Rattus norvegicus: one gene and its partners. The protein of the gene in region 2 interacts with the protein of the main gene of each other region in a biochemical or structural test. Links are inferred from orthologs where the notes say so. Each region holds a gene or a part of one and is shown on either strand. Other genes may lie near its edges.

Region 1 (3,748 bases), on a different chromosome or scaffold from region 2:
TTATGGGATGTTTAATATAAAATATACATTCCCCCCATGGCTCATTGAACTTGGCAAGAGCTGTTTGGGCTAGACTGGGTGGCTAGCCAGCTCCGTGGATTTCTTCCCTGTGGCCTCTTTCACGGTTCCTGAGGTCACAAGTGTATATCTGCCTGGCATTTGCATGAGTCCCCGGGACCTAAATTTAGGTACTTTACCCACTAAGCCCTGTAAGGCAAGCAGTCCACCAAGTGACCTGCATTTACAGCCCTGAGGATACTAATTTATTCATTCCATCTCTGTCTTGTCCTCCCACCAGACCTCTGGACTCTTGTTTCTCCTATCACCCTGAACAACTTTGGGTGCTACATCTGCCGCTCCAGCGGTGGGCGCTTGCACCACCACCTCCTTGGGACAGTCATCTTAAGCCTTGTCATTCTCTTCCCAGCCTTTCCCTCTTTCCACACGCTCCTTGCTTTTGGAGTCTGTGATTTGCCGCGTGGCACTTAACTGCGGAATCTCAGTTTTCTCCTCTTAAAAACAGGACTACTATTATTCACAGGATTGTTTTAAGGAACGCTGGGAGTGGTGGTACATGCCTTAAATCCAGCACTCGGAGAACAGAAACAGGCTGATCTTCATGAGTTCGAGGCCAGTCTGGTCTACATGAGTTGCGGGACAGCCAGGGCTGCGTAGTAAGTAGTCTCTGAGTCATCCAATTGCGGGAACTAAGAAATTCTTCACTGTTTGGACATCCCTCCAATCACAGTGAAGAAGGCTGTTCCCGCCTTCCGTGCCTAAACAGACCAATCACCGTTCCGGAGCATGGCGCGAATCGCCTCTGGAGAATCTTGCACTTGTCTGGGTCCCTGCACTGAGCATCTCGACTTGCAATCAACCCCTTTCCGAGCTTCGAAAGAAGGATCCCTTGTCATCCTTATCCCACAGCCTTAAATCCTCTCACCCAAACCGGCTGATCGGCGGGAACCGGAAGTGTGCACCAGGGACGGGTCCCAGTGAACTCCGCCGGAAGTAGTGATTGCTAGGGGATTCCCTTCGCTCAGCATGGCGGCGATCCCCCCAGACACTTGGCAGCCGCCCAACGTCTACCTGGAGACTAGGTGAGGGTTGGAGAGGGGAGGAATTGGCCGAGGACACGCGGGTTCGTGCCGCAGCGGCCAGGTTAAGAAAGGCCAGCCTGACTCGCAGGTTGCCCACACGGAGCTGCGGCCGGGAGTACCTGTGGGCTCTGAAGGAGCCCCTCCAACGTCGTGGGAGACTTCGGCTACTTCTGCCTGCTGTTCTTTTCCCACGCCGTTCATTAGTTCATTTACCTCTGTCCATCTTCATTCATTCATCCCCTCACTCACTTATTCTCAACAAGTGTGTGTTGAGCATACAAGTTGTGTAGGGTAATACAAACCTGGGTAAAACACTATATTATGGTGAAGGAGACGGATATGTAAACACTGTGGGACAAGTAGTAGAGTTGTCTGAACAAATTGCTTTGAAACTAGAGGAAGATTTATTTTCTCCACCATCTAGAGTGATCTTTGAGCTGGGCATATATGGTTTAGCATCCCTAAGGCCCCCGAGCTCAGCACCTTGTATACTCCGTGTGGTTGCACATGCCTATAATCCTAGCACTCTGGAGATGGAAGCCCGAGGATCGAAAGTTCAGGATCTGGGCTGGACTGGAATGCTTACCTAACAGTGTGTGTGTGTGTATATATATATATTTTTTTTTCTTTTTTTCGGAGCTGAGGACCGAACCCAGGGCCTTGTGCTCGCTAGGCAAGCGCTCTACCGCTGAGCTAAATCCACAACCCCATATATTATTATTATTATTATGATGATGATGATGATGATGATGATGCCACCTACTAGTGCCATGCCTCAGGTGTGTGTGATTATGTTCTGTTTACTATTGTTAGCAGCTCCTATCCAAAGGCCTTGTTTCACATACTTGCTTCCCGTTTTAGCAGAGAAATGCCACATTTTGCAGATTTACCTGCAAACTGATTTTCATAGTGATTTGAAGGGAACCTTACTTGGAGCCTGGTCAACACTTCTACTGACTTTAGCCCCGTTTCGTCTGCCCCTGCCTCCGGAGTGTAGACTTTAAGAAGGCACACACTACCACTCCCAGGGCTACAGAGTGCTCATATTGCTGGACCTCCTGAATCTGGGCCGTACAGATTCAACTCAGTCCTTAAGTCCTTAGAGCTCAGTGGGTGACAAACAGCAGGAGGCCCCTGCCTTGTCTCCTGCTTCTGTCTTATCCTTAAAGGTACTAGGGGAAGAGAATAAAAGTTCTCATCCTGGGTCTGTGTGGACATACGAAGTAACCAGCTTTAGTGTGTGCTTTACGCATTCTCTTTAGATTTGATTTCTAACATGTGTGTGGGTATGTGCACATGAGCACAGAGGCCAGAGATACGGGGAACCCTGGAAAGGGATGTATAGGTGGTTGTGAGGCCTCCTGGTGTGAGTGCTGGGAACTGATCCTTTGTAAGAGCTGTACATGCTCTTAGCAGCTGAGTCATCTCCAGCCCTGTTTGACCCACTCTTTAATGCACAAACTGCTTTTATTTTCCTGTTCAAATTTAGTTTTAATGGGTGATACGTTTACATGATCAAAAAATGTAGAAGTTAGAAAAACTATTTCTTCCTTCCTTTCTTTTTTTTTTTTTTTTTCTGGAGCTGGGGACCGAACCCAGGGCCTTGTGCTTACTAGGCAAGCGCTCTACCACTGAGCTAAATCCCCAACCCCAGAAAAACTATTTCTTGCCCTCTTATCTGGTCAGCTGCCACTCCCCCCCTACCCCCACACCCTTGTTCTGCAGCCCCCAGACAGATGGAGATGTATATAAACACACTTTAATGTCTTTTTATCACATCTACAGATGACACGCAAGGTCCTGTCCCTTGTTTGGGGGTTGGTTTCAGAGCATCCGTACATGCCCTTAGAATTTTGGCTTGCTTATGCTTGGCTTTGCTTAGCACATATGCCAGAAGCTGCCCTGCGTGTTCACACTCAGGTGGGTCGGCCGTGGCCCCGTTGCTTTGTGGGTCGCTTCCTTCCGAGTGTGAACTCTGGGCACAGCTAGCCGCCTCGCACAGACAGCCGGCAGGAGTCTTGGAGCGACTGCCTGCTCTGACCTTGCCGCCTGTTCTCCACTGCAGCATGGGAATCATTGTGCTGGAGCTGTACTGGAAGCACGCTCCAAAGACCTGCAAGAACTTCGCGGAGCTGGCTCGGAGGGGCTACTACAACGGCACCAAGTTCCACAGGATCATCAAGGACTTCATGATCCAAGGCGGAGACCCGACAGGCACAGGTACTTAAGATTGAGCCACCATCTGCTTCTTCCGTCTCATTCTGTCATAATTGGATGACAGGGTCTCATAGCCTAGGCTAGCCTTCCTACTCTCTGAGACTGATCTAATCTTCTGATCTTCAAGCCCTAACCTCCTCGCTGCTGGGATTTCTGCCTGCTGCCATGTGCAGTATTTGTAGTGCTGGGGATTGAACCGAGGGCTTAAAGTATACTGGGCAAGCACTCCACCACTTCCCATCATCAGCACTCTGCCAAATGGATTACATCAGTAGCTGCACGCACGCACCCACGTACACCTTACCCCACCACCACCACCACCACCACCAGGGTTATCAGTGTAGCCCAGGTTGTCCTTGAACTCCTGATCCTCCAGTCTCCCTGCTGCGCCTGCTGGGTTACAGGCACACACTGGCTCTGGTTCTCTGATC
Region 2 (3,648 bases):
AGTACCTAGCAATCCTCAAAGAATTAGGTTAGCCTAGGGAAACAATACTCTGGCACAGGAGGACCAATGCTGCTAGAGGTCTCCGGACAGAGCTGTACCTAGCCCCTGCTGCCATTGGTGTACACACTTGCCAGTGTCCCTATAGATCTCAGGTAAACTGATGTGGGCTCACAGATGCACAAACACTCAGCAAACTGTAAAAGACCAACCTTCCGATCTGCAATGTATAGGGCTTCAGCCAGTTTGGCAAAATTTTCATTGATGTGGACAGTCTGAAGTCCTCTTCCATCAGCAGCCAGCCGTTTATCTAGTGGAATCGTATACCCCTGAAATGAAAGCCGAAGGCAGGTCAGCACAGTGGGGCTGCAGTTATCACAGAACATTACTAGCGCATGCCCGTTCTGAGAACACTCACATTTCTATCTCTTACACTCACGTCCTTTACACAACAGTAAAGGCTTTCGATGGAGGGTTCATGCTCTAGTCACCCTAGTTAACTGCATGAGGCTGCCACACATCTCCCTCTCACAGGAAGGTGGGGTAGAGCGCCAAGGGATGGTGGCAAATTCAGTCAGTAAATGGAAGAACTAAGACTGGATCACTAACATGATGATGCAAGAGCCCAAGTGTTTAAGCCTGCCGTCCAATAGTCAGACTACAGTAAAATTAGGTCCTAAGAATGCAGACAAACTGCTTGTACCCAGGGAGTATGCTGAACTTCTGTTGGAATCATATCTTTCAGGCCTGGCTTTATGTTTCCCGATTTCTAACTCATCTATCAAATGCTACCCTTAAATCCATTGTCTCCTAACGTGAAGCAGTGCTGGCTGGGCGTGCTGCTACGTGTCTGCAACCACAGTTGAGATTACAAGTTCAGGACCAGTCTGGCCCACACAGCAAGTTCCAGGCTACAGACTGAGACCTTGGCCCCAAAGCAAAAATATAAAGAACCATATGAAAAAGATCCATAGATAAATGAAGACCCACAGTGCTTCAGTGTCATCTCAACAGACCACAGTGTTGCATAGATATGAATCAACCCACATAAGATGGTTCAGAGCCTTTCCAGTGGAGCACGACTATGTAATTTCATATTTAATTCTTGGTCTAAAGTTTCCGCCTTCACCCATCAATATGACTCATGCAGTAGACTCCAATCCTATAAGAAACTAGAACTTGGAAATGTATCCCATAATTTATAGACCCTCACTAACTCCGGAAGCTCTGGCATCTGAGGTACATAAGATTTTTTGTTTGTTTGTTTTTTGAGTCTATGTATTTGGGTCTCTCTATACAATTCTGGCTGTCCTAAAACTCACTCTTAGACCAGACTGGCCACAAACCTATAGATATTGGCTTGCCTGCACCTCAAGTGTGCCACCAGGCCCTGCAACAGAAGGTTTTATTTTTAGGGCTTATTTTTTCAGACAAGATCTTGCTATGTAGTCCAGAGTAGCCTTCAACTTGTTATCCCCCTGCTTCGCTTCATGTGTGCAGGAGTCACAAGCATGAACACCACTCCTGACAATACCATGAACAGCAATGCTACACAGCAGAATAGCTAAAAAGAAACAAAGGAGTGAACCCCCCCTAACCACCTCCCTACCCCTGAAAACTCATGCTGTCCTTTCTCATGTGAACAATGAGATATTTTTTCTGGAAATAACTCTAACCTAGAAGTTTGACCTTCATGAAGAATTAATCTTCAACCAATAGGGTATTCTCTCTCATTCATATTCATATTCATTCTCTCTCTCCCTCTCCCTCTCTCTCTCTCTCTCTCTCTCTCTCTCTCTCTCTCTCTCCTCCTCCCTCTCTCTATCTCTCATCTATGTGCTTCTGATAGCTATGATATACCAGAGAGATTTACATGGTATTCAAGGGACTGGTATAGCAACACATCTAGTGTATTTTAAAGTGCCCTATGAAGCTGTCTCTCGTCTTTGGGGTACATCAGGTTCAGATGCTAAATGTGTGCTCGTCCACTAAGCTCTGCTCTCGGGAGTTGTAATTTCTTATTGTGAATGGTAAGCTAACTGAGGAGCTAAGGCTTCAAGAAATGTCCCCAGGCACTGGAAAAAATTTCCTGAACAAAACACCAATGGCTTATGCTCTAAGATCAAGAATCGACAAATGGGATCTCATAAAACTGCAAAGCTTCTGTAAGGCAAAGGACACTGTGGTTAGGATAAAACGGCAACCAACAGATTGGGAAAAGATCTTTACCAATCCTACAACAGATAGAGGCCTTATATCCAAAATATACAAAGAACTCAAGAAGTTAGACTGCAGGGAGACAAATAACCCTATTAAAAAATGGGGTTCAGAACTAAACAAAGAATTCACAGCTGAGGAATGCCAAATGGCTGAGAAACACCTAAAGAAATGTTCAACATCTTTAGTCATAAGGGAAATGCAAATCAAAACAACCCTGAGATTTCACCTCACACCAGCGAGAATGGCTAAGATCAAAAACTCAGGTGACAACAAATGCTGGCGAGGATGTGGAGAAAGAGGAACACTCCTCCATTGTTGGTGGGATTGCAGACTGGTACAACCATTCTGGAAATCAGTCTGGAGGTTCCTCAGAAAATTGGACATTGAACTACCTGAGGATCCAGCTATACCTCTCTTGGGCGTATACCCACAAGATTCCCCAACATATAAAAAAGACACGTGCTCTACTATGTTCATCGCAGCCTTATTTATAATAGCCAGAAGCTGGAAAGAACCCAGATGCCCTTCAACAGAGGAATGGATACAGAAAATGTGGTACATCTACACAATGGAATATTACTCAGCTATCAAAAACAATGCCTTTATGAAATTCATAGACAAATGGTTGGAACTGGAAAATATCATCCTGAGTGAGGTAACCCAATCACAGAAAAACACACATGGTATGCACTCATTGATAAGTGGCTATTAGCCCAAATGCTTGAATTACCCTAGATGCATAGAACACATGAAACTCAAGACGGATGATCAAAATGCTTCACTCCTTCTTTAAAAGGGGAACAAGAATACCCTTGGCAGGGAATAGAGAGGCAAAGATTAAAACAGAGACTGAAGGAACACCCATTCAGAGCCTGCCCCACATGTGGCCCATACATATACAGCCACCCAATTAGACAAGATGGATGAAGCAAAGAAGTGCAGACCGACAGGAGCCGGATGTAGATCGCTCCTGAGAGACACAGCCAGAATACAGCAAATACAGAGGCGAATACCAGCAGCATACCACTGAACTGAGAATAGAATCCCCGTTGAAGGAATCAGAGAAAGAACTGGAAGAGCTTGAAGGGGCTCGAGACCCCATATGTACAACAATGCCAAGCAACCAGAGCTTCCAGGGACTAAGCCACTACCTAAAGACTATACATGGACTGACCCTGGACTCTGACCCCATAGGTAGCAATGAATATCCTAGTAAGATCACCAGTGGAAGGGGAAGCCCTTGGTCCTGCTAAGACTGAACCCCCAGTGAACTAGACTGGTGGGGGGAGGGCGGCAATGGGGGGAGGATGGGGAGGGGAACACCCATAAAGAAGGGGAGGGATTAGGGGGATGTTGGCCCGGAAACCGGGAAAGGGAATAACATTCGAAATGTAAATAAGAAATACTCAAGTTAATAAAAAAAAAAAAAAA
Region 3 (3,748 bases), on a different chromosome or scaffold from region 2:
CTGTGAGCTGCAGAGGCACAGGGAAAAAAAAAACAATGGCAAGGGCAGTCACAAGTGAAGGACAAAGGAAAGTCGCTACAGTGGTGGGCTAAGTCTGGGGGCAAAGTGGCCAGGGGCAACTCTACCCTTAAGGAAGGACTGGAGTTGGCTGACTAGGCCAGAGAGTGGACTGGGGTGCTGGGGCTGCCCTCAGGATCGTGCTGTCCCACCTTCACCTCAGCCTTAAGTCTCCCCAAGCCCCCTTGTCCCTTTATCACTCAGTGTGACCTCTCCTGGGTTTGGATGATTCGGTATCCGGCTTACCCTGCTTTGGGTTAATGTCTTGGCGTCGCCACACACACAAAACCCCCTTCACACATGAGAATCCCAGTTCGGATTATAAATCATACGGTCGCTTTTTTTTTCTTTTTTCTTATATTTTTGGTTGTGAGCCTAGCCTTTAACGGCTGAGCCATCTCTCCAGCCCTCTTTTTTCTTTTTTGGCGTATCCATCAGACACTGGCGTGAAGCAAGGTTAAGGGCAAAACGGGAGAGACGCGTAATGAAAAGGGAGGTCCTGGTAGTACAGAGCTGCTGCTAGGCTGGCTTCAGCCCAGTCAGAGCCTCCCCGGACTGAACAGCAACGGTAGACAGCCAGAGCTGCTGATCCTCCTGGAGCTTGATTTGGAGGCTGAGCCCTCCTCTGCTGGCACCCCTTGGAGGAGGGGGCTGCCACCATGCTGGGACACACAGAAGGCTCCCACTTCAATATGGCCCTGTCCTTATTCCCTCCACCTGCATGAGCTCACAGCAGTGGCAAACGGAAGCTTGAGCCCCCTCACCCACTCTCCAGCTACAAATTAGAGTAGGGTATCCCGGCACCCTGGCCTTGCCTCTCTGCTGTGTAGACAACAGCAGCCAAGGGGCTGATCTCAGCCAATCCCTAAAGTATAAGATTGGGTAACTTCTTGGTCTCGCCATTTAGACCCTAGGCCTTCTGGAAGCCTAGGCTTTGTGCATCTGCAATCTGTGCTGAAGGCAGATTCAGGGGGTCTTTGGGGGCTTCCCAAGGGACTCAATCCCTCCAAGAGATCAGTTCAGAGGGGGGCTGGGTGGGTGGGTGGGAGGGAGACTGAGAGACCATGTTATAAGTAAGTAGAGCTCAACAGATCAGGGCCTCTAGAGAATACACAGACTTTATGATTGTACCTGGAGAAGAATGAGGGTCTCTTCTAAGCTGCCCAAATCTCCTTCTTTCTCTCCTTTACTAGTCCGTCCTCCATCTTGGTTGGGAACCAAGTAACAGAGAACCAGGAACACTGACTGGGGATTCCTACCTTTTGCAGTTTGAGACAATGTTTCTATGGCCTCCCTGTGGCCTCAGACAAGCTAGTAAAGGGTACCGGGTAAGGCCCCCAGGTCACCTATTTCTGCTCAAGGGGTCTCTAGTATCCAAAACAAAACCAGAGACTTTTACTCTTACTGCCTCCTGCTCTGGCTGCATGCCAGTACCGAGAAGTATTTCAGCGAGATCCACGCAATTCTTTCTAGTCTTCAGCTAAGGAAGGAATAGAGATGGTCCCCTAACTGTAAAATACCCTTAGTTCACAGAGTTAAGGGTCCTCGCTCCCAAGCCTGGGGAAACCATTCCTTGCATTTTCTGCTCCCTGAACCTTCTGATTTCTCCTGCATGCCTGTCTTATGAGACAAGATGGGTATCTGGCAAAGTAGAAATGGAACCAGTAGCTGGTAAGTCCACAGTCTTGGGCTGTATCTCTAGTTCGTAAAAATAGGAAGAGGTATGGATTTACCACAAAACCACTGTCTCTTCATGGTCATCTCCTGGAATCATCCCTTGTCCATCAAACAGCCATTGCTGACACCCCTACCCCCTGCTGTCATGAAGAAGATGCCTTCCTCAGGGCATTGGAGCAGACCTGAACTCTGTCCAAGGGAATTTTTGCAATGCCCAGAAAATGCCTGCCCAACTGCTTGCCTGGGCTCTGGCCCCTCTCACTGCTTCTGGGCCCAGACAGGAGGCTGACTCACTCACCACAAAGAGGAGGAGGAGGAGAAGGAGGAGGAAGAGGAGGAGGAACACGAGGAGGAGGAGCAGCAGCAGGAGGAGAAGGGTGGCTTAGGCTCAGAGAGCCAAGGCTCCCAGAGCCCAGGCAGATTCAGCCTCAGGTGGGGGGATAGTCATAGAGGAGACCGTGGACCTCGAGATCACATACCTAGATTCTCCTCCTGGATCAAGTCCCTTCCCTCTCCAAACAGAAACTATTCCTTAAAACCCCTTTCTCAATTTCCATGCTCGCCCCTGAAACCCCCCAACCTCGCACATCTGTAGACAGGCTCTCCTGAAAGAGAAACCCAGCACACTAGTCTCAAAGCACCGGTGACTTTAGAAAGTCAAGAAAGGAAAACTCCATTTAAATTAGTCCACTCCATTATCACAGGTGATCACACATGGGCTCCGCGGGGTAATAAACAGGTAATAAACAGGCTCCCCACACTCCACCTCCAGAGACCTTAACACCATCGACAGCCAATCGTTCCCTTTCTTACTCCCCGACTCCAAAGCCAAAGCGCCGGTCCGAGGAAAGAAACAAACGCTTCTTGTTGTCGAGTGCTGAGCACCCGCCTAGCGAAGGACTCCTAAGCTGAGCGTCCTGAGCATCGCAACTTCAGCTTTCTCAGACTTGGGTGCCCTCTCAGAGTCCCAACCTCATGGCACCACAGCCCGGTTCTCAGTCCCCAACTTTTGCTTTTTTAGAGTCTTAGACTCTAGTGTTTGTACCTGGACACTCAGACCTCTAGACCCAAGACGCCCGCCCCGGGTCTAATCACTCACCCAGGACTCCCTTCCCCCTGCTCCCCGATTCGCACCTGGTCTGGCGGTGGACACACTGCTTGGCGCTCCCTGCGCTTGGGGCTCGACAGCAGCCTTTTGACAAGCAGAGACTGCTCAGCACCTGGCCCCGCCCCTGCAAGGCCCCACCTCCGGACCGCCCTGCCCCTCAACCACGCCCACTAGGTTCAGTCCTCTGCAGCTCTGAAACTTTCTTGACTTGGAAGCAACCACTGCACTGTCGCCTTGGAGACCCTGCCTTGTGAGAGGCTCTAGGATCGCCGGCCACAGCGCAGCGCAGGCGTCTGCCTTCCGTGGGGCAATCTTTGATGATATCGTGTGTGTAAATACACGTTTCTGCCGGTGGTGACCTGTGACGTATCCGCCACCCACCCCCGCCGCCGTGGTTCTACCCAGTCTGCTGTAGACGCCTCCGCCAGGTGTGTCACCCGTACCTGAGTTGACCCGGGACCCCGATGCCCGCGGCGCGCTGCAGGGAGCCGTCCTCGGCGCGCCAGTGGGGAATCGCCGACGACTTTCTCCTGCAGGGCGCTCAGCCGGACTCCACTGGTTAGGATTAGCTCAAGGAGACGGGAATGGAAGTTGGAGTTGCGGCCTCTCTCCTACCTGACATTCCTCTGTTAACTACAGCGACGGAACATGTTCCTGGCTAATTGCGTCTCGTTCCAGCGGGCTTTGCCTTAACTTCTGAGGTCTCTGCCTCCCAGATCCTCTCTTGCCACAGAGCCCTTGTGTGAAGGAATGAAACAGGCACAAAATACACCTCAAGACCTGGAACTATGGGTGGCTACTGAGAACTCGTAGAAAAATTAGATAAAGGTTACTCTCTACTCACCAGATGCTGAAAGAAATGGGTCGATAGGACTCCCTCCTTTGAGTAGGAGGATGTATGCACAA

The links.
Region 1: the proteins of Snw1 (region 2) and Ppil1 form a complex in vitro, tested with the Homo sapiens proteins (2 studies listed by IntAct, with this or other methods). The link is inferred for Rattus norvegicus from reciprocal best matches to the Homo sapiens genes SNW1 and PPIL1.
Region 3: the proteins of Snw1 (region 2) and Vdr form a complex in vitro, tested with the Homo sapiens proteins (2 studies listed by BioGRID, with this or other methods). The link is inferred for Rattus norvegicus from reciprocal best matches to the Homo sapiens genes SNW1 and VDR.

Annotation. Positions count from the first base shown.
Region 1 is NC_086038.1:7,315,899-7,319,646, reverse strand, and holds the start of Ppil1 (peptidyl-prolyl cis-trans isomerase-like 1), read left to right. Parts: upstream 1-865; 5' UTR 866-1,044; coding exon 1,045-1,100; intron 1,101-2,674; exon of another isoform or gene 2,675-2,755; intron 2,756-3,165; coding exon 3,166-3,320; intron 3,321-3,748. UniProt on the Homo sapiens protein: Involved in pre-mRNA splicing as component of the spliceosome. PPIases accelerate the folding of proteins. Catalyzes the cis-trans isomerization of proline imidic peptide bonds in oligopeptides. Catalyzes prolyl peptide bond isomerization in CDC40/PRP17.
Region 2 is NC_086024.1:112,833,327-112,836,974, forward strand, and holds part of Snw1 (SNW domain-containing protein 1), read right to left. Parts: intron 327-3,648; coding exon 210-326; intron 1-209. UniProt on the Homo sapiens protein: Involved in pre-mRNA splicing as component of the spliceosome. As a component of the minor spliceosome, involved in the splicing of U12-type introns in pre-mRNAs.
Region 3 is NC_086025.1:130,913,873-130,917,620, forward strand, and holds the start of Vdr (vitamin D3 receptor), read right to left. Parts: upstream 2,886-3,748; 5' UTR 2,869-2,885; intron 1-2,868.